Linked DNA regions of Notamacropus eugenii. The protein of the gene in region 1 binds, or shares a complex with, the protein of each later gene. Links are inferred from orthologs where the notes say so. Each region holds a gene or a part of one and is shown in the gene's direction. Other genes may lie near its edges.

Evidence for each region.
Region 2: RBL1 (region 1) and LIN54 share a complex: the UniProt entries of both Homo sapiens proteins name them as parts of the DREAM complex. The link is inferred for Notamacropus eugenii from reciprocal best matches to the Homo sapiens genes RBL1 and LIN54.
Region 3: the proteins of RBL1 (region 1) and E2F5 are in contact, whole or in part, in a crystal structure (PDB 5TUV), measured with the Homo sapiens proteins. The link is inferred for Notamacropus eugenii from reciprocal best matches to the Homo sapiens genes RBL1 and E2F5. Residues at the interface, in NP_002886.2 of Homo sapiens: Ser1000, Ala1001, Leu1002, Leu1003, Tyr1004, Lys1005, Phe1006, Asn1007, Ile1017, Met1020, Ile1021, Gly1024, Glu1025; in NP_001942.2 of Homo sapiens: Met162, Ile190, Ala192, Pro193, Ser194, Gly195, Thr196, Gln197, Leu198, Glu199, Val200, Pro201, Ile202, Pro203, Glu204, Met205, Tyr213, Leu217.
Region 4: the proteins of RBL1 (region 1) and TFDP1 are in contact, whole or in part, in a crystal structure (PDB 5TUV), measured with the Homo sapiens proteins. The link is inferred for Notamacropus eugenii from reciprocal best matches to the Homo sapiens genes RBL1 and TFDP1. Residues at the interface, in NP_002886.2 of Homo sapiens: Tyr1004, Phe1006, Asn1007, Ser1011, Leu1014, Ile1017, Asn1018, Ile1021; in NP_009042.1 of Homo sapiens: Pro260, Phe261, Ile262, Thr290, Phe291, Glu292, Ile293, His294, Asp295, Ile297, Glu298.

The regions. Positions count from the first base shown.
Region 1 is NC_092872.1:427,722,643-427,730,239, reverse strand, and holds the start of RBL1 (retinoblastoma-like protein 1), read left to right. Parts: upstream 1-4,584; 5' UTR 4,585-6,650; coding exon 6,651-7,295; intron 7,296-7,597. UniProt on the Homo sapiens protein: Key regulator of entry into cell division. Directly involved in heterochromatin formation by maintaining overall chromatin structure and, in particular, that of constitutive heterochromatin by stabilizing histone methylation.
Region 2 is NC_092878.1:150,599,511-150,606,608, reverse strand, and holds the start of LIN54 (protein lin-54 homolog), read left to right. Parts: upstream 1-4,082; 5' UTR 4,083-4,099; coding exon 4,100-4,250; intron 4,251-6,614; exon of another isoform or gene 6,615-6,757; intron 6,758-7,098. UniProt on the Homo sapiens protein: Component of the DREAM complex, a multiprotein complex that can both act as a transcription activator or repressor depending on the context. In G0 phase, the complex binds to more than 800 promoters and is required for repression of E2F target genes.
Region 3 is NC_092875.1:317,362,742-317,370,308, forward strand, and holds the start of E2F5 (transcription factor E2F5), read left to right. Parts: upstream 1-4,558; 5' UTR 4,559-4,573; coding exon 4,574-4,795; intron 4,796-5,615; coding exon of another isoform or gene 5,616-5,759; intron 5,760-5,837; exon of another isoform or gene 5,838-6,027; intron 6,028-7,567.
Region 4 is NC_092877.1:207,440,054-207,447,414, reverse strand, and holds the start of TFDP1 (transcription factor Dp-1), read left to right. Parts: upstream 1-4,360; 5' UTR 4,361-4,545; intron 4,546-4,561; exon of another isoform or gene 4,562-4,798; intron 4,799-5,142; exon of another isoform or gene 5,143-5,410; intron 5,411-6,782; 5' UTR 6,783-6,845; coding exon 6,846-6,857; intron 6,858-7,361. UniProt on the Homo sapiens protein: Can stimulate E2F-dependent transcription.

The DNA.
Region 1 (7,597 bases):
AATGTTCACTATGATCAGTTGCCATATATGTGAAAATACTCTAGTATTGAAGGAAGTACAGGATGGAACTCACTCATATAATACCATGAACAAACTGGCTGCTCTCCCTTTTGTAAGTGTCTTAGCATGTAAAATTTCTAGACCTTAGTGACAAATAAATTTGCTTTTAGATATGAAAATTTATATTTTAATGTTATTTTTCACCACCTAAAGAGAGATGACACTGCCTTCATATCTTAAATAATAGCAATATTACTGAAGCTCCAGTGTGTGTGCTGTTTTCATATTGACTGTGCTCATCAGTAAAATACTTGAAACATAAATGCTTCATACACATCATGTAGGATGGCCCACTTTTAATTTTATGCCTGATTCTAATCATTACAGTAAATTCAAGCAATTTAACAAGAGGTTGCTATACAGCATTTTTTTTTCCACTTTCATCCAAAGAACAAAAGGGATAGGTCAAAGAACTGTGGTGATAAAGGAAGATGAGCTAGGTTAAATTTAGTTTGGGGTAGGAAGTAACTTGACTGCCTGGCTGTGAAAACTAGCATGAGAGGAAAAGAATGAAAGAAATAGGTTTTATATATGTAGCCTTTTTAAAAGCCTAAAATAACAAGTGTCCAAAACTCCTCTTAACTGAGGTGTCTGAAGTACTTGAAAGTGAAATTTTTGGATAATTTGGCTTGTTGCATCTTAAAGCTTGACATTCCCTTTCAGGCACTGATTTCTTTACTCTTTTAGAATGACTCCTTAAATGAAATTAAACACCAGGCCTATGTCTAAGTGACTCCTGTTGTTGCAAAGCTAGGGTTTGAGGCTTTGGTAAGGAAAGTTTACCTCCTTAATTTTGGAATTAAGTATAGCAAATGCTGATGGGAAGTACCTTGATCTTTATGCCCTCTGTGGCTAGATAGTCACTTGAAGATCTTAGTAGCCAGAAATAACCCCCTGGAGATGGCCTTTGATTTGTTGGACAGTGACCTAAAAAAATGCAACTATACTGTTTTCAAGTCTGTGTGCTCTTCAATTTATCTTTTTCCTGCTCAAAGACTACAAAATATGTAAGTAAAAGTTGATCCAGAACTCAAGAATTTTAACTTCCAAGCAACCCATTACTGCTTCCTCCCCTCAAAAACTACCTAGCCAATTTCTTCTCCCAGCAAGAATGGTGAGCCCAGGGCTGGCCCCCTCCCCTGTCAAGATCAACTGCCCCTTTTTGACCGTTGGAATGTCAGGTGTTTGGATTTTTCTGAGGGGCAATGCTGCATTTGTTCTAAAGGATCACTGAAATATTAAATATGGTAACAGCAACTATTTAACTCCACTATTAGATATCCCTTGAGGGTTTAAATAAACATAGCAATATACGTGATTGATGAATAATGTTGTCTTGTGTTTAGGTCTAGGAGTCCATGCAAGGGTAGATTCGTTTCATTATTCTTTTCTATTCAGAAAGCCTAAGCTCGTATTAGATAAAATGAGCAAACTCTAAGGTAATAGGCAAAATGTGTTTATGGAAAAATCCCTTTCATTTTATATGTGATTATTAAAGCATTTGTCATAGACTTGTACTCCATGCTGGGAGGGAGGGGTCCAAAGAAGGATAATAATGATGTAAAAACAGAATCCCTACTCTCAAGCAGCTTTCCCAAGAAGAGAATAGCAGCAACCAAACTCAATCCATAGTCATTTATTAAGCACCTATGTGCTGGGAACTGGTTTTATAGATAACTGTGAAATAGATCCTGCTTTTAAGGAACTTATATTCTGTTAGAGTAGGACTAATAGAACTCCATCAACCAGAGACTATAAAGGTTATAGATTTTAATATACCTGTATGTATTAAGGAACTCAAAACAAGGTAAGGAATGATTCTGAAAAGTGAGTCAAAAAAGGAACAAAAGCTAATAGTAAGATGATATAGAAACCATTCTAAGGAGAGGGAAAAGTATGAGTAATATTTAGGGGAAGATCAGCCCAGCTACAACCTAGACAGTATGATATGAATACCAAAAAATGAAGTCAGACAGCAAAGAGCCTCCAGGCTAGGATGAGTTTAAGCTTTGGAGTGACTGGATTCCTAAACAGGGAGTATGCTGATCAGTGTGAGAATGCTTAACTTGAAATTAGGATATGTGATTGATTAGGAGATGGAAAAGATTATAAGGCAAAAAGATGAATGAGGTGAGAATTTAACCAAATGGCATGGAGGTAGAAATCAAGAGAAATAGCTGATCCTATTTAATTTAACAAGCATGAAGGGCCCATACCTGGCCAGGCATTGTACTAGGTATGGGGACTAAAGAGATAAAATAAGCTGTTCCTGCCCTTTGGAGAGAAATAATATGTACACACATAAATATAAAAGATATGCAAAGAAATTTGAGGTACTAGGGGGTATTGGTCTAATATAAAGGACAACATTATCAATAAGACAGGAGTTCCCAAGGTACCACATCACACCTATCAGATTCTCTAACATGACAAAACAGGAAGATGATAAATGTTGGAGAAGATGTGGGAGAGTTGGAACACTAATTCATTGTTGGTGGAGCTGTGAGTTGATCCAACCATTCTGGAGAGCAATTTGGAATTAGGTCCAAAAGGCTATAAAAATGTGCATACCCTTTGACTCAGCAATATCACTTCTAGGACTGAATCCCAAAGAAATCATAAAAATGAGAAAGGATCCCACATGTACAAAAATATGTATAGCAGCTCTCTTTGTGGTGGCCAAGAACTGGAAATCAAGGGAATGCCCATCAATTGGGGAATGGCTGAACAAGTTGTGGTAGATGAATATAATGGAATACTATTGTGCTACAAGAAATGGTGAACAGGAAGACTTCAGAGAGGCCCGGAAGGACTTATATGAATTGATGCTGAGTGAAAGGAGCAGAACCAGGAGAACATTGTACATAGTAACAACCAGAGTGTGCAAAGAATTTTTCTGGTAGACTTAACCTTCACAGCAATGCAAGGACCTAAAACATTCCCAAAGGACTTGAGGCAAAATGCCATCCACATCCAGAGAAAGAACTATGAAATTGGAAAGCAGAATGAAGTAGAATATTTTCTCTTGTGTTATGTTTTGTTTTGTTTGGGTTTTTCTCATAGCTTCTCCCATTCATTTTAATTCTTCCATGCAACATGACTAACATGAAAATGTATTTAATAAGAATGTATGGGTAGAACCCATATAAGATTGCATGCTGTCTGTCTGGGGAGGGAGTGGGGAGGGAGGAGGAGCAAATCTAAGACTTATGGAAGTGATTGTAGAAAACTGCAAACAAATAAATTTTAAAAAGAAAAATTAGAAAAAATAAGACAGGAATTCTAGAGTGGGAAGAAGGGAACAAGTAATTATGTGATACCTCTCATGGACGAGGCCTCATGCTAAGTGCTCTTAAAATTATCATCTCATTTGATCTTCACAACAACCCTGCCAGGTAGGTGTTATTATTATTACCATTTTACAGTTGAGGAAATAGAGATTGAGTGACTTACTCAGAATCACCCAGCTAGTAAGAGTCGAAGGCTGGATTTCTGACACCAGGTCTGGTGCTCTATCCACTGCACCAACAGTTGACTGAGTACAATAGAAAAGTAGAAAAAAATAGACTAATGACTCCAGAGAGTTTTGGTTAGGGCTAACATGGATGGATATGAGGGAGCATGGAGCTATAGTGAGAGAAACTTCAACATACTCACCCAACTGAAGCACAGAGATATTGTCATAAGGCAATACTAGTAATGTATTTGATTATCAGTCCTTGAGAAGAAGGCAGGGGATGGGGAGGTATGTACACTTGAGGTAGCAGAGCAGATGTCCTTGGTCCTGCCTGATGGTCAAGGCAAGGGTCAATGTAGACCTGGGACCGTATTAATTATAGAGGGAGATGGTATATTGTAGGTGCTCATTCTCAGCTAGTTCAGTTCAGCTCAGCTCTACACAGTATTCATTCCAAGGCTGAATAGCTTAGCTCTAGACTGCTGGAGGGCCTTTTTTTCCTAGACCAGTGACCAGCAAGAAGTAGGAGAAACCATAGAGCATATATCCATCCAGTTCTTCATCTTGTGTGATGGTCACAAGCAGAGATCAATGGAGTAGATGAACTTTAGAGATAGCAAAGGAATCAGACTGATAATAACAAAGGGCAGGGGGTGAATGAAAGTCAAAGGTAACATATAAGACAACATATAAGAAAAATGGAGCTATTTCATTGAGTAAGCATACTATTATTGACTCATCCCTAGTCAGGTACTGTCAGCAATCTGGCACCACTAAACCTCTTCATTTTTATTTCATACTCCTCCCTATACTTTACCTAGTCCATGCTACAAACAAACTCAAATTTCCTGTTACGTTTGGGATCTTTGGTTGGAATGCTTCCTTTGTAATTGGTTCATTTTTATGAACCACATTATCTTGTAGTTGCAGTCTAGATGAAATGAAAACATGAGAGATACCTACATGAAAATTGCAAAGAATTTCCCTACTCCAATTAGTCTCTTCTTAAATGGATACCATGATCCTTCTAGTTGACAGGTCTAGCAGTGCATCCTTTGATTTTCTTTTGTTTTTCAGTTCCTTTTCTTTTTTATTCTCTGCCATAGAGTGTTGTCTTTGTTGAGTTGTTTCAATGGTGTTTAACTCTCATAAGTTTAACCCCCATAAGGGGTTTTCTTGGTAAAGATATGGGAGTGGTTTGCCATTTCCTTCTCTGGCTCATTTTACAGATGAGGAAACCTGAGGTAAATGATCTTAAGTAACTTGCCCAGGGTCACCCAGCTAGTGTTTGAGACCAGACATGAACTTATAAGGATGCATCTTCCCGATTCTAAGCCCGTGCTCTATCCACTTTACCACTAGCTGCATGCTATGGAGCAGGGAAGATCAAATTGCTTTTCAATTAGGGACAGTGATTTGAAAGTAGCTGCTAAGAGTTGGTCAAATATTTCCTCTTCACCTTCTACGTGATTTTTCCTGGGTCCACCTTCACTATATCGTGGGTAAAAATAATCAGCCTTTAAAGCATCGCTGTCTCATTTTAAACAACTCCTTTAAGATAAAGTCTGAGATAAGGGGAAAGATCTGACCTGGAATCAGAGGTCCTGTTTTCACATCCTAACTCTATGGCTTACAAACTTTTTGATGTCCTCAGTTCTGAGTTTGAGGCCTCAGTTCTCATCTGTAAATTGAAGGAGTTGGTCCCTAAATCTTATGGTTCTTGATTTGGAGGTAGCCAAGTGGTCTTGGAGCACTGGACTTGGATTGATCTGAACTTGAAGCCTGCTTCAGATACTAGCTGAGTGACTGTGGGCAAGTCACTTAACCTCTCTTGTTCTCATTTTCTTCATTTGCTTGTGAAAGGCCTCCAAAACCCCACCTCTTCCTGCCTGTCCAGTCCTCTTACACCTTATCCCCCCATACATACTCTATGACTCCTGAGCATTTTAACTGCCTGTCTCCCATTCCTGAAATGCTCTCCTTCCTCTTTTAGTTTTGCCTCTCGGCTTCCCGAGTTTCTTTCTGGTCTCAGTTAAAATCCCACCTTTTTCAAGAATTTTTCCCTAATCCTCCTTAATCTTAGGACCTTCTCTTTGAGATCATCAATTTACCCTGCATATATTATATTCATACATGGCTGTTGTGTTTTCTGCTCCCCTCCCCAGGTGAACTTCTTGAGACCAGGTACTACTATGTCTTTCTTCGTGTCCTCAGTGCTTAGCAGTGCCCAGAACAAAGGAGGTGCTTAATAAATGCTAGTTAACTGACTCCATACCATGGGAATGATAATAGCACCTAACTCAAATGAGTTAACATACAGATAGGTGCCACACCGTTACATATATTTATGTATATACACACATAATATCCACATATACCTATAAAATGAGATAAGGTTTTGCAAACCTTAAAAAGCGATATGTAAATGCTACCTATTATTCAGCGACTCGTCATTGGCTGCAGATCCTTTGGATTTCAAAATAAGAATAATGATTATATAGAATAGAATGTAAAGTTTGAAAATTTAAAACGAGGAGTTTCATCAGTGTTGTTTTGTTTTTGTTTTTAACAAAGAAAATGAAATCTGGACCGACCTAAAGAAGCTGGAGGGCGGATTTTGGTTCAGTAAAGAGTGTTCATTTAGGGCTTCCAACTCTCGAACGGTCCCCTCTGGGAGATGGCGAGGTCTCTGCGCCTGGCAGGCTCCACTTGGAGGTCAGAGGTGGGGGTGGACCCCGCAGAGCGAACTCCTGCTCAGGTAACAAAACAAAAACAAAGCAAACCCCTCCCCACCCCCGGGCTTCCAACGTCCTCCTGTGCTTCATTTTCCCTTGTCTCCCATCCTCGGACGAAGACAGTGGAGGACTGCAGTTCTTCACCTGAAATTCGCATTATTTTCCCGTTCTGAGAAGGGGGTCCGTGACACACAAGAGGATCAGCGTCCCGGCCGAGGCATCGTCGCCCCGGGGCGCACGGATGAAGCTGCCTGGAAGGCCTGGAGGACGGGCTGATGCGCTGGGAGGGCGAGGGGGCTCCCTACACACTTTTAGTTTAATCTACGTTATTCGTATGTTCTCCATCACTTTCTCAACTCAACCAAACCCGTTTGCCGTCCTCGACGTAAGCGCCCACAATGGGCTCTGGAGCTATCGTTAGCACCCCTGGAGAAGGATCTCGGCAGGGGGGGCCCAGGCGGGTGGGAGAAACTCAGCCCACGAGGTCCGGTTCAGGGGGCTCCAGCAGCCCGGACATGCCGGTCCTCCTCCCCCTCCCGTCCGCCACGACAGGATGCGGACTACAATTCCCGACAGGCCCTGGAGCAGAAGCTCAGTTTGAACTTTTTGGACAGACCAGCGGCTACCTCCCAGGCCGAAACCCTCTTCCCAGCAGTGTTCGGACGGAGGCAGGAGGGGTCCGGGAGGTGAGCCGGCCCCCGAGAGAAGGGACTCGAAGGGCGGGGCTGTCACGCAGCTCCGCAAGGCCCCGCCCCTTTCCGGGACAGAGTTTTCGCGCGCTTTGGCGCGGGGGATTGTGGGGGAGCCGTGGCCACCGGGAGTGTGAGGCGGACGCGGGCGGCGTAGGCGCCGAGCGCCGGCCGCCGAAGCCCGGGGCCACGGGCGGGATGTTTCAGGACGAGCTGCGCAGCCTGGGGGCGGCCGGGGCTGGGGCCGCCCGGGAGGCGCTGCAGGCCCTGTGTCAGGAGCTGAACCTAGACGAGGGCAGCGCGGCCGAAGCCCTGGGCGACTTCATGGCCATCCGCAGCACCTACAGTCTGGAGGTGAGAGCCAGGGCGCGAGGCCGGGGAGGAGGCGCCTGCGCCCCCCGCCCCCACCCCTCCCGGGCCCGCGGGCCCCCGCTCGCTGCTCCTGGCCCCGCTGGAACCACTCGGGCTGGAGAGTCGAAGTCCACCGCTGTCACCGCCCTGGGGCTCCGGATCTGCCCGGGCGGAGGGAGGGGGGCAGAGGGGCAACGTCTCCCCCTCCCGCCTCCGACTGACAGCCCTTTAAATGCTGCAGTCCGGGCTTCTGGGCCCGCCCAGCCCCGCCCGCTTTTCTCCCAAACCTTTATTGTGCTGTCAGC
Region 2 (7,098 bases), on another chromosome or scaffold:
GCACAATTCTGAAGGGCTGGCCACGTGGTTTGAATGCAAAACATATGCTTGCCAGAAAGCATATTTTATGGAGAACTCACACAGGACAAGCATTCACGTGGTGGTCAGAAGAAGCAATAGGAGGACACTCTCAAGGTCTCTCGTAAGAACTTTGGAATTGATAGTGTGAATGGGAGACACTGGCACAGGACCGCCCAGCATGGCATGCCCGCATGAGAAAGGGTGCTGTGCTCTATGAGCAAAGCAGAACTGAGGCAGCACAAAGGAAATGTAGGATGCGCAAATTTAGAGAATCCATCCCAAATGTTCACACGGACTATCTGTGCTCGGCCTGTGGCAGAGCATTCTGAGCTCATATTAGCCTGATCAGCCACAGTCAGACACATGGAAACTTGACTCCACGGAGATGTCATCTTGGTTCTCCTTGAAAACAAAGGACAACAACCAACCAACTATTGCTAGGCACTTTTGTAATTAATATCTCATTTTATCTTCATAACAACCCTATGAGGTAGGTGCTATCATGATCATCATTTTGCACTTGAGTAAACTGAGGCAAAGAGAGGTTAAATGACTTGTCCAGTAAATGTCTGAAGCCAAATCTGTACTCGAGGTCTTCCTAACTCCAGCCGAGTGCCAGCAGCCTCTAAGTCATCCTGTAAGGCTCACCCTCCGTCATTCAAGAAATTCTGGGCTTCAGGGCATTTTTGGTCCCATTGTAATACCTAAGCACATCGGACAATCTCCTTTATTAATGAGGAGAAGAGAGTTTTCAAGTAGTTGCCTGGTGAAGAAATGGTGTGGAGCTCCCTCCTAAATTCACCTGGCGCTGATGTGATTAGATTTCTGTTGTAAGGTCAAGGGTTTTCTTTCTTTTGCTCTTCCTTCCTTCCTTTCCTTCTCTTTCTTCTTTCCTTCTTTTTCTCCCCTTTTCTTCTTTCCTCCCTCCCTCCCTTCTTTCCTTCCTTCCATTCTTGTTAGGGGTACTCCAGAGTGAAGAGGCCTGAGGGAAGTTAATTCTACATGAGATGGCAGGTGCAGAATGGTGGCAAAGTTGGCCGGAGGCTCTTGATCCAGCCTTCCAAACTTAGTTTGTCATCTCCCCATGAAACCTTTTCTGAATCCTCACTCCATTTCTTACTTATCTCTCCTCAGAGTACCTATGACACTGACAATCTGTAACATATGCTTTAATACTGCTTTTATAAAAGAAATTTTTACTGAAGTATCAGCGACATTTTTCCTAGCGTTCTTTCTCCTCCCTTTTCTAGAGAGCCATTTCATAAACCAAATATTTTTAAAGAGAAAAAAATCAACAAAATTGATCAATACATTGAAAAAGACTGATGATATGTGGAATATCTGCTTTTAATTTCATCACTTCTATTCTCTGATTTCCATTTTATCAGTTTCTCTAATTTTCAATATATTTTTGTTGGTTTTCAGTTTTTGAGAATTTCATACTCTAGTCACTAATTCTCCTTTTATATTTTGTTAATATATGGTTTTTGAGAAATAATTTTTCCACCTCTTGCCAAGGAGTGGCTGTGAGCATCTTCTTATAAACCTTTTGAGAAGCAATGATTGTTCTTTGTTCAACTTGTTCAGCCTTTTCCCGGTTGATGGGCATTGACTTAGCTTCCAATTTAGAAAAGTACCCTAAAAAAATGCTGCCAATAAATACTTTGGTGGATACAGAATCTTTCTTCTTATAAATGACCTCCTTGCCTTGTGCTATATGCCTAATAGTAGAATCTCTGGGTCAAAGACAATGAACATAATTCCAAATTACATGATTCCAAATTGCTTTCCAAAATGGTTGTACTGAATCACAGACTTCACCAACAATACCTTAAAGACCCTATCTTCCCTAAACGCCTCCTCTGTTAACTGTTCCCATCTTTTGTCATCTTTGTCATCTTATAGATGGTAAACTGAGACCTCAGGCTTGTTTTCCTTTTTTCTTATTGTTAATCATTTGGAATATTCTTTCATATGGTCATTTGTAGTTTGCGGTTCTTCTTTTGAGAATTGTTTTTCCGTATACTTTGATCAGTTATGTAATTGATGCTAGTTGGCAAAGTAGATAGAACGCTGGCCCTGGAATCAGAAGGGTCGGAGTTCAAATCCAGTCTCTGACACTTACTAGCTGTGTGATCTTAGACAAATCACTTGACTCCACCCTGTTTGCTTTAGTTTCCTCATCTGTAAAATGAGCTGAAGAAGGAAATGGCAAAGATACCAAAGTGGGGTCATGGAGGATCAGACACTATGGAAACAACTCAATAACAATATGAACAAAAGTCATTCCCTACTTGAGGGTCATATCAGCAAAACGCTGCATAACAGCAACATTCTATGTATAAAGAAAATACAACTGCTTTTCTGTTTTTATTACACTAGCATGATGTAATATACAATAATACAATATAATGCAACACAATATATTTTATACCGTTTTGTTTTGTTATTCATGTGAGCATATCTCGTCTTCTCAAAGTAGATAATACGCTGCTTTAAGGTGAACATCATGTTTTATATTTCTTCTGCAGTCTGTTCAGTGCCTAGTGTGGTACAAGGTATTCAGTAACAAATGTCAGTGGATTGAATAATTAATCTCTGCTGTGAATTCATTTCTCCATTTATTAGACTAGGTTAAAACTATCTTCTATCACAGATCTATACCTTTTTTCCCCACCTCCAGTCTTTCCCCTTTTCAATCTATCTTCCCCATAGCTGACATATTTACAGTCCTAAAACACTGTCAGTCCCTTACCTGGAATGCATTCCCTCTTCACCTCCAGCCCTTAGAATCCGTTCCTTCTTTCAAAGTTTAACCCAAGCCCCAGTTTGTTCTCAAGACCTACGCTGAACCCCTCCCCGCCCAGTAGTTTTCACCCTCCTCACTGGAAATTATATATAGTTTGTTTTATATATGTGTGTGTATATACATATATATATATATATGAAAGGGTAGTCATGTTTTCGTTTTTGTATCCCCAGTCCTTAGCCTGGCACATAATAGGTACTTATTAAATGAATGAAAATTTATTCAAATTCACACTATTTGGAAGTGTGAAATGGATATTAATTGGTTCCAGCACTAGGGAAATATGCAGCGCAAACTCGAAATAATAAGAAGCCTTCTAGGGATCCGTTATTCACACTCTTCAGAACCTAGCTATATGTAAAAATGAAAAGCATATATATTGGAGACAAAGAAATTCCCTAAAAATAACTGTCACCGATATGATCTTGGGCAGATCAGTTAACTTCTCTATACCTCAGTTTCCTGAAGTGTAAAACGGAGGCAGCCACATGGGGGCCGTGTTCCTGGCGCCAGACCTGGGTTTGAGCTGCCTCAGACACTCACTCGCTGTGTGGTCCTGGGCCAGTCATTTAAGGGTTCTCGGTCTCAGTTTCCTCTGCTGATAAAATGGGTTGCTGGGAGGACCAAGGGATACACAAGCGTCTACGTAAAGCCCCTTACAAACTTTAAAGCGCTGTTATTGTTGCTGCGGTTGGGTTCGTCCTTCGTTTTCAGAGAAGACCAGGACATCAGAGAAATGATGACGTGACTTGCACTGGACTTTGTTTGGAGGGAGGGAGGCTGTGCAGGAGCTATTATTGTTAATACGATGAGCGGGGGCAGATCGGGTCGGCGAGCCCGCGGCGGGCCTCATCGGAGACCCCAGGTGCCTCGGGGCTTTCGGGCAGGTGGATTCTTTTCTCCTCCCGTCCAATCAGTTTAGCGACCAGAACATAACGCTACGAAGCTGTTCTTACTGTTAGCCATCAGTCCCACACTCTCCTCGGTCAATTGCACGGTGGTTGGGCGGGGGAAGGACCACAGCCGCGGAAGACTTCCTTAAAAGGGAGTGTGTGGGGGGGAGCAGGAATGGTCTCTTCCAACTGCGATCTTCCCCCTCCTCTCTCACTCCTATGGAACATTCCATCCCAAAGCTCGAGCGCACGCTCCTAGTCACGTGGTGACCTACGCCCAGCGTATTGACGACTCTACGGCCGGGTTGCCAGGGGAGGGAAACGGCGACGAGGGAGGGAGGGGGAGCGGTGGGGGGAGGGCTCAGCCTATTATGGGATGCGGCGGTGGAATGGCGCTGGGCGCGTGATTTTGAACAAACCTGGGTCTGTGTTTCACAGGCGCCGCCGCCGCCGCCGCCGCGGCTGCCGGGAGCGGAGGGAACGCGGGGCGAGGAGGAGGCGGCGGCGCCGCCGGCTGTGGTGGGGGGGTGAGTGTCAGCCCCCGGGACGGGGGGGGGGGGAGGCGGCGAGGGAGGGGGGACGGAGGAGGGGGAGACCCCGCGACTGCCGGGGATGGGGGGGTTGTTGGCGCGCGGAAGGGGGGGGTGAGCTGTCAGTGGAGGGCCGGCGCCAGCGCGGCTGCGCGGTGTGCCGGGCCGGGCCGGGCGGGGCCGGGCAGCGACGGGCAGCGACGGGCAGCGGCGCGGCGCCCGCGCGGGGGAGGGGGCCCTGCAGCCCGCCCTGCGCTCCTGCCCCTTTGTGTGCCATGGCTCCCCTCCCTCCGCCGGGACCTCCCCTTCGCCTCCGAGTAAAGTTTGGGGAAAGAAACGCTCCTTCCCTGCTGGGGGGTCTCCCCCCAAAGCAGAGAGCTGCCCCGCGCCCCAAGCCCGCGAGCGTGCCAATCCTGCCCGGCTGGTGTCAGAAAAAAGGGAGTGACAGCTGGGGGCAGCCCCTCCCTGCCCCGCCCAAACCCTTCCCTTCCCCCTAACCCCGCCGGAACTTCGGGAGGGTGGGGGAATGGCAGACCTGCTCATACCATAAGTAATAAAATTGATAGTAAAGTTCACCTTGGTGTGGCGCTTACTGTGGGGGAGGCACTGTGCTGAGCGCTGTACAGCTTGGACACGGACACGGTCACCTGTGGGTGTTTGTGTGTGTATGTATGTATGTATGCATATATACACAGATAAAATAACAGTGCTTGTTATTTTATAACACAGCACAGTGTGCTGTGTGCCAGCCACCGCGCTGGGGACATGCAGCTTATACTATGTGCCAGGCACCGTGCTAAGCGCTTTACAGTTGTTATTTTTATATACACATAATGGCTAACAAACATACGTATATATGGGTGTATGTGTATACACCATATATAAAACAGTTAACATAGGGCCTACTGTGTGCCAGGCACTATGCTAAGTGCTTTACAGCTAATGCACAGACACATGTACATATATGTGTGTATGTATACTTATTCATATATACACAGACAGAAAATAGCTAACAGGGCCTACTATGTAGCCAGCATTGTGTTAGGTATCTTACAATTTATATACATACGCATAAAATAGCTAACATAGGGCCTACTACGTGCCAGGCACTGTGCTAAGCGCTTTACAGTTTATACAAACACACACATAGACATATGTATGTATGTAGATACAGCTAACATTTGTAATGTTTACTATGTGCCAGGCCCTGTGCCAAAGGCTTAGCAATCTGACGTGTATATGTATACACACATATTCATGGCTATATATGCTCATGCATGTCTATGTCTATATGCACTTACATACTTTATATGTGAAGCACCTGCCATATGCCAGGCACTAGCGATCCAAACATTTCTACTGAATGTTGTAATTCAACATAATTTTCTCTTTGGTTGTTGATTATCTCCCACTTTTCCCCTGTAGATTTTGGTTGAACATAGTTTTCATGTTGTCTCCTTAGTGAGACTGGGAGTTCCTTGAAGGTAAGGATTGTTTTTTCCCTTTGGGTTCCCTGCCGTTAGCAAAATGCCTGGCTCGTAGTAGGCACTTTTATCGGTGCCTGTTGACTGGTTTGCAGCTAGAGGTTGAAAAAAAGAACGCTTCTTTGTATTTGAGTCGATCTTCGGACTGCATTTAGTAAGAGAGGCTAATTAGGGAAACTGACATAATCCGGAGGTTTTGTGTATGTTACTGTATCGGTGGCAAATGTGTATTTTAAGTTAGAATTTGATACTATGGAAATGATTGTCAATTTCAGCTCAGGGTAGATTTCCCTTTTTTAAATCAACAATGTTAATAGCTTTTGGATCAGATGGCGATTAGGTTTACATTTCTTGAGGTCCGAAAGCGACCCGGAAGGTTGAACAGCAGGTCTGTTTTATGGGCAGGAAGGAGTAAGTCAAAGGAAGTGGACTGGGGACTGATCGTCTGGAACGTGTAGAAAGTATGCATTTTAAAGATGGGATTTTGGTGACCCCGTCTGTCTGAACCCGCCTTGGCCAAGGTCCCGCCCTCTCTAGGCTACCCCAGGAGCTGGTCCTTTCCAGCCGGGGGAAGGGGGAATGTATGCCCTGAAGGTGTTAGCGAGCTGAGGTGGTCATGGAGAAACGCGCACAGCTCCCGCTGGCCTTTCCCCTTGGAAACTTGAAGTTTGGGTCGGGGGAATCCCTCCCGGCCTCGCGCGGCTTCCTACCCCAGCCCGCGGCTGCCGGCCGGCGCTCGAGGGCTCGGCCCGCGGCGCGTTTGAAGGTTGGCGCGGCGCGGGGGCGTGTCCCGGGCGGGGGAGGGGCGCCGCAGAGCCGCCGCGGGCCCGCGCCCGCCGTGCCGCCGCGCCGCCGCGCTTCTGATGACGACGTGAAAATGGCGGATCTTTCGAAATCCAATCCCGGCCCCTGACATCCCGGCGGCGGCGGCGGCAGCGGCGACAGCGGAGGAGGAGCCCGGCTGCGCCGCGAGCTGCCGGCCTGGGACACCGGAGAGCCCCCGCCCTGAGCCGCCCGGAGGTGAGGGCGATGCGCCGCCGCTGCTGGGCGGGCAGGAGGGGGAGGGGAGCGGAGCGGAAGGGACCGGGCTGGAGGCCCCGGGCCGGGCGGGCAGAAGGGCTGGGGGCCCGGCTTCCGAGTCGTGCGGCCCGGGTGCCGGAGCAGCCGCGGGGCCGGAACCCCGCGGTCAGCCGCGTGTGTGGTGCCGGGGGCGAGGGGGGGTTGTGGTTGTTGTCGTTGTTGTTGGCCCGGGAGCGGGACGTCAAGTGCGCGGCGGGGGGTGGGAGGCGGGGTGACCGGGCTCCTCGGACCGGGGGTTTGAGGAGGTGACATTGGTCGTGCGCTGGGGCGACGGACGCGTC
Region 3 (7,567 bases), on another chromosome or scaffold:
CAGTTTGCCACTCATATGTGGTCCACCCCCAGTTCTTTGTTGACAGCTCTAGCTGAGCATTTTTATGTAGATGTTGTGTTACCAACATTAAATATTTTAATCTGAATTCATCTTCTACAATCCGTTATAATCTCTGTTTTGTATTCAATGCCTTTCATAACCCAGCTCCCTCCTACCTTTCTAGTTTCCAACCTACTCCAACACATATTCTTCTTTCCAGCAACAGTGGCCTTCTTGCTGTTCTGCAAATAAAATGGTCCCCTTCTTTTAACATTTTAATTTTCTCTGGAAATTCATGCCTCCATGTTTGTAATGCACTCCCTCCTCATCTCTGCCTAACTGGTTTCCTTTAACTCGCCAACTAAAAGCCCATCTTCTACAGGAAGCCTTTCCCAACCCCTCTTAATTCTAGTGCCTCCACTCTTTTAATTATTCCTATTTAACCTACATATACCTTGCTTGTTTGGTTGGTTGTACTTTGCCATATTAGATTGTGAGTTTCTTGAGGGTAAGGACTTTTTTGCCTAGTACCTGGCACATAAAAGGCACTTAATATTTACTCATTAACTGACGAAGTAAAAAATAATAGCTGAGTTTTCCATTAGTTTTAATCCTTCCTTCATCCTTTAATCACTATATATCAAAAAGGATTATATCACTTCTTTCTGAACTTGCCCACCTAATACACCAAACAGACAGAAGCAAGAACAATGTTCTTTAAATATTGTTTGGTTTATGTTACTCCTCGTTGTACCCTAGTGGCTCTCAAATTCTTCAATGATAAAAGTTTCAAGTCTCAACTTTGTTCCTCTTCTTTACGGAAGTGCCACCATCTTTTGCCAGACTTGTAGTCTTACCTCCAAGAAAGCAAATCTATTTACTCCCCTGCTCCTACTTGAAATCATATATCACAAATGCCATTTCCCACACTTCCTCTTTACTATGCCAAACCACATTCCTTCCTTCAAGGTCCTATTGAAAAATGGCTTTGTCCATGAAGCCTTTTCATCATAATCCTACCTGACTCCAGTCACTCCAACATTCCTCTTAGTACTTTTGTGTATCTCTCTACAACTAGCATTCATTTTGATTTATACTGTGAGGTTTTTTTTCATTGCCACTTGTAGAAGCAAAGCTTCTTGAGGAAATCACTTCAGTTTACCAAAGATCTTAAACTTCTAGTGGCCTGCAAGCTCAATACAAGGCAAATGTCACCTGATTATCAAAAAACCTAATATGATCTTAGGCTGCATGAATTGGAATGCAGTCTAATATATAGGATTATATAGGATATGATAGTTCCATTGTACCCAGCCCACATCTGGAGTATCACATTAACTTCTGAATCACCTGCTCCTAACTCAAACTGAAGAGAATTCAGGGGAGAATGAACAGATAGTGAAGGGACTGAAGAGTATGTCTTATCAGACTCACACTGGAGCTATTTAGTTTGGATAACATTTAGGAGGCAAATGTCACTTGTCTAAATTCTTGAAGGACTGTCACATAGAAGAGGTATTAAGCTTCTCCTCCTTTGCTCCGGAGAGGAAATTGCAAAGAGGCAATATAGGCTTAATAATAGCTTAATGTAAGGACAAATTTTCTAACAATTAGATTCTCCGAAAATGAGACTGCCTAAGGATGAATGAAGTAGGATCCCCCTCCAAGAGGTCTTCACCATATTTATGAATGAAATAAGGTACTCAACAATAATGATGGTTACATCAAAAGGGAAAAGTTGTTACTGAGAAGGTGAACCAGAAAAGATTCCATTGAAGAGGCAGCTTTGAAGTTTAAAGGATGAGTAGGAATTCAGTAGGCAGAGGAGTGTAGAAGACAGTACTGGAACAACATCAACTTTAGAAGCAAAGATATGGGGAAAAAGTCTTAGAGTAATCCATTGGTTATAGGATAAAATGCATGGAGGACAGTAATATTTATCAAGTAAGTATATACCATATACCAGTTACAGTGCTAGGCACTGTGATAAAGCTGGAAAGGTAGTGTGGTGCCAGATCATGGAGAACCTTGAATGTCAGGAAAAAGAATTTGTTTATTCTGGAAGCAATAGGGAGTCCCTGAAGTTTCTGAACAGCAATGTCTACGCCCCAGGAAGATTACTGTAACTGAATCATGAAGTATAGATTGGAAGAAGAAGAGATGGAAGGAAGCAGAAAGACTTGTTAGGAGGCTACAATAATTATTAGGGTAATGGAAGTAGAGGAGGAGATGGGGAGGGACATCCTATAGTAAGATAAAATAAGAGTTCATGTGTATGTAGCACATTAAGGTTTAAAATATACTTTCCTTCCAGAAGCATTATGATCCCCCTTCTATAAATGAAACAACCTCAGAAAGGGGTTTGCTCAGTAACATGCTTAGTGATAGGCCCAGGACTCAAATCTGCTGACTCCAAGAACAATATCCTTTCCTAACGGAATCACAGATCTACCACTGGAAGGGATTTCAGAAGACATCTAGTCCAACTCTCTCATTTTATAGATTAAGAAACTGAGGCCAAGGAGGTTAAATAACTTACCCAAGGTTCACACAGGTATAAAATCTCAGAATTGTGATTAGAACCTAGAGCCACTCTTTTCTTCTATACCATGTTGCCTCAAAGGTACTGGGAAAAATGGATGAGGTGGTGTTGCTGACAGAAATAGTGAAATTAGAAGGAAGAGCAGTTTTAGGGATTAAGATAATAAACTTGATCTATAGTTAGAATATGGATTTGGAGCTCTACAGATAGAGTATTTGAGAGTTAATCTGCAAAAGAGACAAAAGTGTGGAGATTACCAAAGGAGAATGCATGTACAGACATACAAAAAACATAATACATAAATATGGAGATAGTGAGAGGAAGATAGAAAAGGAGAGGGGGAGGGAGAGGGAGCTTACAGAACCTTAGGGAACACTCAGTTAAAGGCAAAAGGAAGACTGAGGAAGAACCAGCAAAGGAAAAATTAGAAATTGTGTAAGAGAACCAGGAAAATAAGATTTATCTGATACCAAGGGAGAAAAACATCCAGTAGGAGAAGGCAGTCACCTTCTCAAAAACTACAGAGAAAGAGGATGAAAACTCAAAACAATACAAAACAAAAAACAGCCTTGGTGATTAATTGGTTATTGGTGACCTTTGAGAGAAGAGATTCATTTCAATGGTGGTGGCAGAAGCCAGACTGCAAAGGCTGAGGAGAAAGGAAAGGATGCCATGAAATCATTGCATTTGGAAGTGTTTGTCAAGGAACTTAATAATGATTTTTCAAACTTCAAACCAGTGGCTGGCTGCCCATCAGTTAAGGAAATGACTAAACAAACTGTGGCACATTTAAGTAACATAATATTTTGCCATAAGATACAATGAATATGGAGAATATGGAGAAACTTGAGACTTGCATGAATGGATGCAAGTGAAATAAGCGGATCCAGGAAAACAACATACTTAGCCACTACATGAAAAACAAAGCAGAAAACAACATGTAATTGTAATTGTTCAGCCCCAGAGAAGAAATGAAGAAATAAAAATATCCCTTCTTTTCCTGGAAAGAGGAAAAACTAGGATTATGGAAGTTTCACTGCGCAGGTGAAGAGAAAAGGACATATTTGGATATGATTTTGATGTAAAAACAAGACAATCCTACAAGACTTCTTTTACTTGCACCAAAGGGTTAGGGACAGGCTATAACTAGATCTGGTGGAAGGATCAAGGGAAGGCTTTTATTTTTTTTTAAGGAGGAAGACATAAACATTTTTGTAACCACGTGCTAAGGTGCAAAGGGATTAAACCCCGGAGCTTTCCAAGGGTTAAAAGGAAAACCATTCCCAGTGTCCAGAAGCTCGCCCATCACAACAGCTGGGGGGGAGGTGGAGTGGAAAGCAGGGGTTGTTCTACACTTTGTATCTGTCCCCCCGGGGGGTCTGGCACAGGGCCTGGAACGCCGTAAGCACTTGATGAACGCTTTCTGGTGGATTAATTTATAAAGGAATTGGACAAGACACGTGTCCTAATTCCCACCGACAGGCTATAGGAACGAAGGCTTCTCCGAAGCTGAACAAGATGCTGGGGAAGAGGTGTCCTCGGGCTTTCTGGGGCCACTCCAGCGTTCAGAGGTGCACGCGGGACACGGACCCGCCCCAATTTCTGTTTGTCCCCAGTGGTCATTTTCCAAGGCGGTGACAAGCTCAGCTGCCCGTCGGAGCCCCAGAACAGAAAGGTGTGGACGTGAAATCCTTCATCGCGCCCTTCAGTTGGGCCCTCGCACCATCCCCTCCAGCACCTCCTCTCCATCTCCCCTCTCACTCCGGGTCGGAGGACAAAAAAGCGTCTCCGGGCAACGGCGGGCTTTGGCGTCACTTCCTGCCATTTAAACTCCTTTCTCCACCCTGCGGCTCCTATCTCCTTCCCTCGCTCGCCCCCAGCCCCGCAGCCCAGGCGGTTTAGCTCGCGGAAGCGCGGCGGGGTCGGGGCGGGGGCGATCGCGCGGTGGGGGCGCCGCTCGGGGCACCTGCGCTCGGCGGGCGCGCGGGGCTGAGGGCTTGGGCTCCGCGCCCGGAGGCGGCGGCGGGCGGCATGGCGGCGGCGGCCGAGCCCGGGAGCTCCGGCCAGCAGCCGTCGCCAGGCCAGGGGCAGCCCCCGCAGCCGCAGCCGCCGCCCGCAGCGCCCCCAGGCGGCGGGAGCGGGGGCGGCGGGAGCGGGGGCAGTAGCCGCCACGAGAAGAGCCTGGGCCTGCTCACCACGAAGTTCGTGTCGCTGCTGCAGGAGGCCAAGGACGGGGTCCTGGATCTCAAGGCGGTAAGAGCTGCGCGGGGGCCGGGAGCTCGGGTATCCTCCCGACCGGAGACGGGGACTGGCGCAGGCGCGCGGCTTAGGCCTCGCCGCCCCGGCCTGGGGGTGCCCTCTGCCATGGGGGCGGTGCTCGCCGCCGCTGCCAGCACGTCGTTCCAAGGGCTCGGGACCCCCCAGCCGCCCCTGCATCCTTTGGCCGCCTGATGGCCGGTTCTTCACCCCGGGCTGAGGCGCCCCGGGCCGGCCCTTTGTCAGGCGAGGCCGGGGCTCGAACCCGCCGCCCCCCTCCCCACTCCGCCTGGGCGCGCGCCTCGGGGGGAGGGGCGGAGAGTCCCTTTCCGGGCGCCCTCCAGGATTTCCCTGTGATTTCAGGGGCTTTATCCACGATTTGGGGCGTTCCTCCAATCCGGCTCTCCGGGTACTTGTTCCTGGTGGGATGCCGGGGGAGCTCGGTTTGTCCGTTGGATGGGAGGAATGGCGGGGGCCGGGGAATGCGGGCTGTCCGGACTCTGCCCCCCGAAGTGGGGCTTTTTTTGGCTAAGGCAACCCAACTCCGCGGCTTTCCTGCCGGACGCAGACCTTGCCCAGACCCTGCCCCGGGCCCAGGCACCGGGCCCAGGCACCGGGCAGCGAAGCCTTCCCTAGCTGTGCGGTTGGTTCTGTTTCACCCTGAGGAAGTTAGGCTGGAGAAGTCGCTTCGAGGAGGCCGTCCTGGGCCGGGAGAGAGGAATGGAATTCAGAGATTCGGCCTTCTCCACCTTTCGGTGGGACACTTTCCCGAGGGAATGAAGGCGGCGCGTCCAGAAACACGCCGTGCGTGAGGAGGATGCTCTCGGCGTCCCTGCCGCTCGCTGTGAAAACGAAGTCCAGTCACCGAGCCCTGCAGCCCGGCTCGGAAGAGCGCCGCAGCCCGCCGGGACTTTGGAAAGACGAGTTCTTGGCTTGGATTGACCTTGAGCCAGTCGGAGGAGTAAGACCCAGCCCTAGTGGGGCGGGGTGGGGGGTGGGGGGATCCTGGCCGCCGATTCCAGCCCAGTTTTACAGTTCCACTCGTTGCAGCCCTCTGAGATCCCCCACCATAAACTTATCAGGCTTGAAATGTCCCCGGGGGATCCCTGGGAAGTTCCGAGGCGGTGGAAGTAGAGCCACAGGGGGTCTGGAAAGCCCAAACTGTGTGCGGTCATAGAGACAGTACCAGTTTGAGAGCCAGTCGTTCTGATGAGGTCTTCAGAAAGTTCGTATGTATGGGCTTATTCATCAGCACAGATTGCATTCGTTTTGTATACACAATGTGCATACACTTGTCTGCTGTTAAAGCTGCCTTGTACTTTAATTTTCTCTGTTTCCTAACCTTTTTGCAAACGAATTTTATGTGGACTTGCCTTTCTACAAGTGAGTGTTGATAGCATAAATTTTGCTTTTAGCTTAAAGTGAACTTAATTTTATTTCTGCCTTGGCTTGCACCACCCCTCTTGAAATACTAAGAGACAGTGTGGGAGATTGCAAAACCATGGTTAGGAATTTGCCATTAAAGTTATAGAAACGCCTCTGTGGGAATAGCAGACCGGTTTTAAATACCTTCCAGCATATACTCATTCAGTAAAGTGACATCCCATTCTTGCTGTTTGACTCGGGAATTTTAGCTTACTATTTCACTCAATAATCTATTAATCGTTTACTACCTACCTAGTTATGTCGTGTCTGGTGTTTGATGTTTCACGTGAACGTTGTTTCCGTAGTAGTGGGAATTCCCCTAAAAGCACAGGGATTTTTTGGTTTATGTTATAGCAAGAAATATCTGAATCAATTAATTGAGAATGCCTATTTCTATTGGATATTTTTATTAGTCACTTTATGAACCAAATTGGTTTTATTCTTTTCTTCTCCTGTATATAAAATTAAGTTTTTAGACATTCCTTTCATTTTTCTTCCATGTTATTTCAGACTGAAAGAGATGTTGAATATGGTTCTGGCCCTAGTATAAATTAGGTCCATTCTGTCATACAACTTGTCATTTAAAAATACATTTAATGGAATTAAAATTTTTCCTCGATGATCATCCTTTGTACTGCAACTGCTGTGACCCCAAGAATTTCAATATCCTCAAATTACAGAAACATAAAGTAAAGCTGTTCGTTGACCTATTTAGAAAATATGAATCAAAAAAGACAGTATTGAGCTACAAAAATGAATTATTTTGTTAAATTCCAACTGTAATGTTGACTGAAAAGTATAATGACTGTGTGTAAGACACAGCATACAGATTTTACATTCATGGCAATTATAATGTACATTACATTGTGAAAGAATAAAAAGTCTTCTATCATGTAATGATCGAATTTCTCTCTGTACTAAAATTAAATAATACAACTGAGGGCTCTGCTTAACTGAACAAAGCTACTCTGTAATATAGTTCTAAACTTTACAGTTGGGATGCAGAAAAACTAGTCTCTATTATACTACTTTTCAGTAACAGAAAATTACTTTGTCCTTGTTAGTACACTCATGTCCAGTTGAGGTAATGACTCAGGTTGTGAATATATGTGTGTAATTTTTAGATGGTGTCAGGAAGCCCTTGGTTCCAACCCTGTGTGAAACTCATTAGCTTGTATGTCTTTGGCAAATCATTTAACTTCTCTCAGCTTCGGTGTCTTTATCAGGAGATGAGAGTAGTCTCCTACCTTGGTATTGTTGTAAGGCATTCCTGAGATGATGTATTTATTAAGTGTTTAGCATAGGACAAGCACTGTTGTAAGCTCTGGAATTATAAATACAAGC
Region 4 (7,361 bases), on another chromosome or scaffold:
TTCTGATTCATTCTCCTTTCAGCCACTAGTGATTTTTCTAAAGTGAAAGTCCAACCATGTCACCTTTTAAACTCCAGTGGCTTCCCATTGCCTCCAAGATCAAATACAAAATTCTCTGGAGTTCAAAGCTCTACATAATTTAATACCTTCCAATTATTGTTCCAGTCTTCTTATACATCACACCCCACTAGATATTCTTCTTTTTGATCCAATGACACCAGCTTCCTTGCGGTTCCCCAAATAAGATTTTTCATGTCTTGGCTTCCAGACATTTTCTCTGGCTGAGCCCATGCCTGGAATGCTCCTCATCTCCTTTTATAGGTTTCCTTTTAAGTCCCAAGTAAAATCCCATCACCTACAGGAAGGCTTCCCCACCCCCTCTTAATTGTAGTGCATACTCTCTGTTAATTATTTCTTATTTAACCTGCATGTAGCTTGTTTGTATGTCTTTGTTTGCCTATCATCAGGATCCCAGGCAACCTCTTCACCAGGAAATCCATCATCTTAAGAAATTACATCAGTTTTGGTATTCACGCCTTTTTTAGTCCCTTCCTTACTCTTTGTCTCCCAGATTGGAGAGCAGGAGGGTGGAGCAAAACACTCCTCCGCTCAAAGCTTCCATTTAACTTTCCTACCAGCTTCACTCCTTGGCCTCTTTAGTCCACCAACCAAACTTCTTCCTCCCCACCCTTCCTCCTATCCTGCTTTTCAGCTTTGTATTTGTGATGTTTTCTCCTATTAGGTTGTAAGATCCTTGAGGGCAGGGACTGTTTTTGTTTTTTGTATTCCCTGCACTTAGCACCGATCTTGGCACTAGTTGGCCCTTAATAAACACTTATTGACAGACCCTGCTTAGGGGCAAGGACTTTCTTTTGCCTCTTTTTTTTTTTTTTTTCTGTATCCTCAGGCTTAGCACAGAACCGGGAACATAGTAGGTGTTTAAAAATTGCTAATTGACTGAGCTTTCATTTTGTTCAGTCATGTCGAGTCTTCCTGATCCCCCTTGGTGTTTTCTTGGCAATACTGGCGGGGTTTGTCATTTCCCTTTCCAGTTCATTTTATAAATGAGGAAAGGCACATAGGGTTAAGTGACTTGCACAAGGTCATACGGCAAATAAGTGTCTGAGGCCAGATTTGAACTCAGAAAGATATATTTCCCTGATTGCAGGCTTTATCCACTGTGACACCTAGCTGTCCAGTTCTTTCATTTATATAGTTGTTAATGTGTTTTTTATTTTCTGGGTTCTGTTTACTTCTCTTTGCATCAATTCATGAGTCTTACTGTACTTTTCTGTATCACAGTAGCTATTCCCCAATTAATAGCATCCACTTTGTTTGGAGAAATTATTTCTAACTTGTGGGATAAGGGTCATGGAGGAGGTGGCATTTGAAATACATATTAAAGGAAAAGAAGGATTTCAGTAGGTAGAGAGGGATTTGGGAAGTATTGGGAAACAAGATAGTGACCTATGGAATCATGATCAGTAGTTCATTTTGGCTGGAAGGTTGTGCAAAGGGGAATACCGCAGAACAAGCCTGGGAAGGTATAGAGCCAGATTATAGAAGACCTTAAGCATCAGGCTAAGGAGTTTGTATTATTTTGTAAACATGGGGAGTCCCCAAAGTTTTTGAGAACAGGAAGGATGTCATCAGAATTACACATTAGGAATATTATTTTGGCTGTGGAGTGTTGGACAGAACTGAGCAGAGGGAGACCAAAAGAAGAAAGCTAGTTGAGTCTATTTCATCTCCTAGGTGAAATTCTTGCTTGACCTTTCATTCCTCCAGAAAATTTTCTTTATTATTTTTTTTCTTGCTCTAAAAAGTAATCCTTTCCTAATTTGACTGTATGGTACTAAGTAAATTATACAATATTGTCATGTAAGATTCTTTTCTCCTCAGGAGGTGGAAAATCAGAAAATAAATGCTTGCTAATTGAAAAAAATATTTTTAAAGGTCTATTTTAATAGTTTAGATGAAAGGAGAACAGGGATTGTAGAAGTAATGCTGAAGTATCAAAATGATAGTTTGTAGGGGTTGAGGGAGGAGGAGGAATCATACATAAGAAAACCAGGGTGACTGACATCCAGCTGGTGGTGCCATCAATAGAAATTGGTGGATAAGTATGAGGATGGCTTTTTTTTGGGGGAGGGAAGATGTGAAATGTTTAGAGTGTGGTATTGGCTGGACATTTAGGTAGAGATGTTGCTTCTGGTCTGAAATTTGGGACTGGAATTTGATCCATCTGAATAGACGTGTTAAAGGAAGCCATGGGAGTGAATGAGTTTGCCAAGAGAGAGTATATAGAGAGAATTAAAGAAGGCTGAAGATGTTCCTAGGGGAGCATAGGAACATAGATTTAGAGCTAGATAGGAGCATGAGTGAAGCAGTTAACTTTCTTGAACTTCAGTCTGCATGTGTGAAATGATAATGATAATGAAGATAGTACTACTATTACTACTATTAACTACTACTATTAACTATTACTAATAATTACTATTACTAGAAGTCTACACTATGCCATATAGTGTAGACTTCTAGTCAAGAGGATCTGGGTTCAAGTTCTGGTCCTGATAGTTATTATCTGTGTAACTAAGAATGACCTCTGGACTTCACGCAATTCTTTAAGACCATTTATAAAAAGTAGATTTTTATGAATATCTCTTGCTTTTATAATGTTTGTCTTTCCCTTATGTCCCTATATTCCTCTGTCCCTAAAGAGTTATCCCTTATAACATAATTTTTTTAAAGGAAAAAGAAAAGACCCCAGTAAAACTGATTAACACAATGAAAAAAATCAGGGTTCTACATCTATGTATCCCCAGCTTCTGCAAAGGAATGTGTGGGGAGGGAGATATCCTTTGTTTTTTAATCTCTTCTTCGGGGCCAGTTTTGATTAATTTGTGGTTGTTCTTATTGTAGTCATTATGTACATCTTCTTTTCCTGGCTCTGAATTCTTCCCCTTGCATCAGTTCATCCAAGTCTCTCCATGCTTCTCTGTATTCATCATGTATGTTGCTTCTTCCAGCAGAGTAACCTTCCATTTCACTCATATTCCACAATTTGATTGGTCATTCACCCGCTGAAGGGGGGAAGATACTTTGTTTCCAATTTTTTGTTGCCACGAAAACTGCTGCTATGAATATTTTGGGGCGTGTGTGGATTTTTTGTGTCGGTGAGCTCCCTGGGGTTTATGCCTCCAGCAGAATCCCTGGGTTGTCCTGGATGTCGTGTCTGATGGTGGTGAGAAGGCACTTATTCATCCAAGTACTGTGAGTCTGAGTTATTACATCGGAAAAGGTAGATGACAACGAACAACCGCGGGAGGCAGAAGCAGAAGAGACCCCTGTGAATGCAGAGCAGGGAGTGTAGAGGAGGTGCACGGCGCCCCTGGGGAAGGGGTGGAGGAAGATGAAGAAGGAGAAGAGTCACTGGGCTTGGCGGATGAGTGACCTTGACAGGTCAAGGGCATCAGTGACCTTGGAGAGAGGTGGTGGAGAAGGAAGCCAACCGTATTCCTCCTAATAGAGGAAAGGCCTGAACACGGTGGGTCGGTCAGGAAAGGACACAGAAGCTGAACGAAAGGGGGATGGGGGGTCGGGCGCAGTCCAGCCAGGCCAAGCAGCCCCGTCCTGTCAGACAGTGACCACACCCCACGTGGGCCACGCCCGTCCTCGGCGGAGGGGCCCGAGAAGGGCCCGGGGACCCGAGGGAGGGGTCGGGAAGCCGGCCCCAAACGGGCCAATGGTGACACCCCGCCGGTAAGGGGGAGCGCGGGGCAGTCACGAAGCGGGCCCGGGGCCCGGCGCCTCGGGCCTAGAACCCCAAAGTGTTCTGCAAACCTTCGTTACGTCTCACCGCACCTGCCAGGGCCGGGTGCCTTTTCTATCCCGGTTTTATGGGAGGCCAGACCGCGCCGGCCCCCGGCCCCCCGCGGAGCTGAGCACGTGGCCGCAGCTCCGTCGGCCCGGGGCCGGCCCGGCCCGCCGCTCTCCTCGCGCCTCCTTTCAGATGACCTCATTGCGGCTAGTCCGGGCGGCCCCGGGGGATGCGCGGAGCTGTCGGGAATGGAGGCGGCGCGCGGGCCGCAGGCGTGGGAGCGGGCCGCGGGGCGCGCTCTGCGGATGGCGGGGCCGTCGGCCGGGGCGCCCCGCCGAGCCGCAGCCCACCCCGGCTTCTTTTCCTCCTTTTCCCCCAAGCGCACCGCCCGGCCGATCCCCGGCGGGCTCAAGGTTCCCACTTTGACGTTTTGGCGCCGCGCGCTTCCCGCGCTCTCCCAGGCGGAGCCAGACACTCCACCACATGCGAGCACGCACACCGAGCCCTCCGCGGGAGCCCAGCGCGGGGGCGGAGCAGAACTGGCGGGAGCGAGGGAGGGAGCGAGCCAAAGGCGCGAAAAAGCCGCGCAGGCGCGCCCGGCTCCCCGAGGCGGAGCGCGCGGGGGTGAAACTGACACTTTGGGCCCGTCTCTATGGGGCCGCTCGTGGCCGCACGTCACCGCGCTGCCGGCACGTCACGCCGGCTTGACGCTCCCAGTACAAAGTGTAAGTTTCAATTTTTTTGATCCCCCCCTTGGCCGACTCTCCCCATTTTGTGGGGAGGAGTGGGAGCGCAGTCGGGGGGGAGGGGGGTCGGGGGAAGCGAGGCCGGCCTCCGAGCTGCCGGGATCTACTCCCCTCCCCCGTGATCTCTCCCTCCCTGGGTGCGCGGGGGCTGCAGCGGCGGGGCCGCGCTGCCCCGCTCCCCATCTCCGCCCCCCACCCCCCGCGGCGCGGGCGCCGGGACCAGGCGAGCCAGGTGTGGGACGCGGAGCCGGCCTCGCGGGCTGGGGGCGCGTGTGCACGTCAGCGCGGGGCCCGGGGGGGCGGCCTTGCAGCCTGGGTGGGGGCTGGGGTGAAGGATGCAGCCGGGTTTGGAGCCCCATGCGGGAGGATGGGGGGGGGTCCTTGTGGAGCCCGGGAAGGATGGAGCGGGGGCGGGGATGGCGGAGGTCCGCCGGGTACTTGAGTGTGTGTGGAGAGTTAGTGCTGGCCTGGGGTGGGGGGGGCGGTCGGAGCGGAGGCTGGCCGGCAGGGCCAGCCGCGGGGGATGGGGAACCCGTGCGGCCGGTCTGGTCCCCTGGGCGGGCCCCCCTCTGCCCTGCCCCCCGCCTCGCCTCGCCTGTGTGTGGGCGCCGTGCACACGGCTTGGTGTCTCCTCGGGTCTCTTTTCCTGGTGCTGTGTGTTGCACATGTGCAGTGGGTAGACCTTGCCTTCCCCCCCTTTCCCATCCTTCTGCCCCCCACCCCCCCACCCCACGCTGCTGCTCCTGCTCATTGTAGCGGTTGCAGTTGGTGGTGGGCTCTGGGCTCCGCTGCGCTCCCGGCCTGGCTTGGGGGGGCGGCCAGGAGGGGAGGAAGACGCCTTCAGGTGAATTGACCCCCGGCTTGAGATGCGGGGCTCCGGGGAGGAGGGGAAGACGGGAGGGGGCCGGCGTGGACGGAGGCTCTGGGGTGCTCACCCCCTTTCTGCCTTTGCAGATGGGGAAGGGTCCGGGGGATGGGACGGAGAAAGGTGGGGGGGAATGCCCAGCTGGTGGAGGGGTGGTAGGCCTCTCTCCAGCCCCCCATCGCCCCATCAGCATCGCTGCGCCTCCTTTGGGGAGCAGGGTCCCACGGCGGAGGGTCAGGATGGCGCCTGTTGCCAGGGTGGTGCCCGGGTCTGGAGGGGGGGCGGAGGGGGGGAGGCACAGGCCGGTGAGGCCGGCCGGGCGGGCTGGCGGGCGGGCAGGCGGCTGAGCCGCCGCCGCAGCTGCTGCTTGTGTCCGTCCATGGGGCCTGCTCCGGCCAGCTCCCTGCGGGACACCCCGGCAGGGGAGGGGGCTGGGGGCAGCCCCTTCACCAGCCTGGGTGCTGAAATGGCACAGCAGGGTGGAGAGCTCGCTGCGAGTTCCGGTGCTGGGGGTGGGGTGGGGGGAACTCGCCCTCCTCGGGCTGTGGTTCCGAGGCCTAGTGACAGGTCAGGAAGATCTAGATCCCAGATGGACCTGGGGCTTGTGGAGTCGATCCCGGACCGGGGCTCGCCTTGTGGCCTGAGAGCAGTTACTTTAACCCTGGAGCTCCCTTGGAAGCACACCTGTCAGAGTTCTCAGCATGCTCAGGGCTGGGCCAGTGGAGCTGGCGGCTGACTGGAGTGGGGGCAAGGCCTCCCCTTCCACCTTTCAGTATATTTTGGGGGAAGGGGGCTAGCGGGAATCATATATCGTGCATTTTTGTGCTGGCAGTGTAAGGATGGGTTGAGTCTGGATATATAGACATGGGCATAGGTTGGCGTGCGTGTGCGTGGGTGAGGGTTAGAGGGTTTGCTTGTATCCATCATATCTAATCGTGGTGGGGGTGAGGGTCTTAGGTTCGTCATAGTCTTGTTCTGCCTATCAGTATAGATGGTTATATTTGTTACCCTGTGACATTAGTTTGTAGTGGGGTGAGCTAGAGGTATCGTTAGTAGTCTGGGAGCGTAAGAGTTTGTAAATTTCCTTTGTATAAGACACTGACATTTGTCTATAACATGTCGTTAGTCCCATAAATTATTTTTAAAAGAAGTAGCCAAGTTGCTTTTGTAGATTCCTTTCAGGATCGAATACATGTATGCATCGGAAGGGGGAGGAGGTTCCTGATATCCCAGAATGCATTTTGCTTTGCTTTGGAGGGAGAAATGTATCAGTTTAGACTTAAGATACAATATTTTGCCAACCATTATCTTACACTGAATTTATATCTTCTTTTGCCTTTTTATTCCCTAGAAGATTATCGTTTCTTCTCTGGAGAGTGAACATCTAAAGAATTGATTTCAAGGATCTGGTAACATGGCAAAAGATGTAAGTATATTTGCTGAGTGTTAAATGTAAGTTAATGCTTAGTTTTTAGTCTTAAGTAGAAAAAATGGTAAATTGTATATGGTCTTGTTAACTTATTTTAGGTTGACAGTAGGTAAGTTACATCAGCTTGTTTTTAAGACTTTCAAAACATGAGGAAAACATGATTAGATCAAAAATGATCTTAGGGATCTTGACAACTACATACATACATGTATAAGTTCATGACTTAATATTTTTGGGTCCTGTTAAATCTTTTAATTGGAATTCTTTCCCTGTAGCAAGAGACAGGTAACTTTGATGACTGACAATTTGAGGGATTTATGTCAAGTTTCAAAATCATTAACAATTTTTGGAATGACTGATTAATTAGTTTGGTACAAAATTGAGTAAATTAAACTTTTTAATCTATAGAAGTTATGTTAGTAAGATAGCATTTTTAAGGTTTGATCCTCACTACAATCCTCTGAGGTACTACTGATATTATCTCCAATTTATAGATATGTA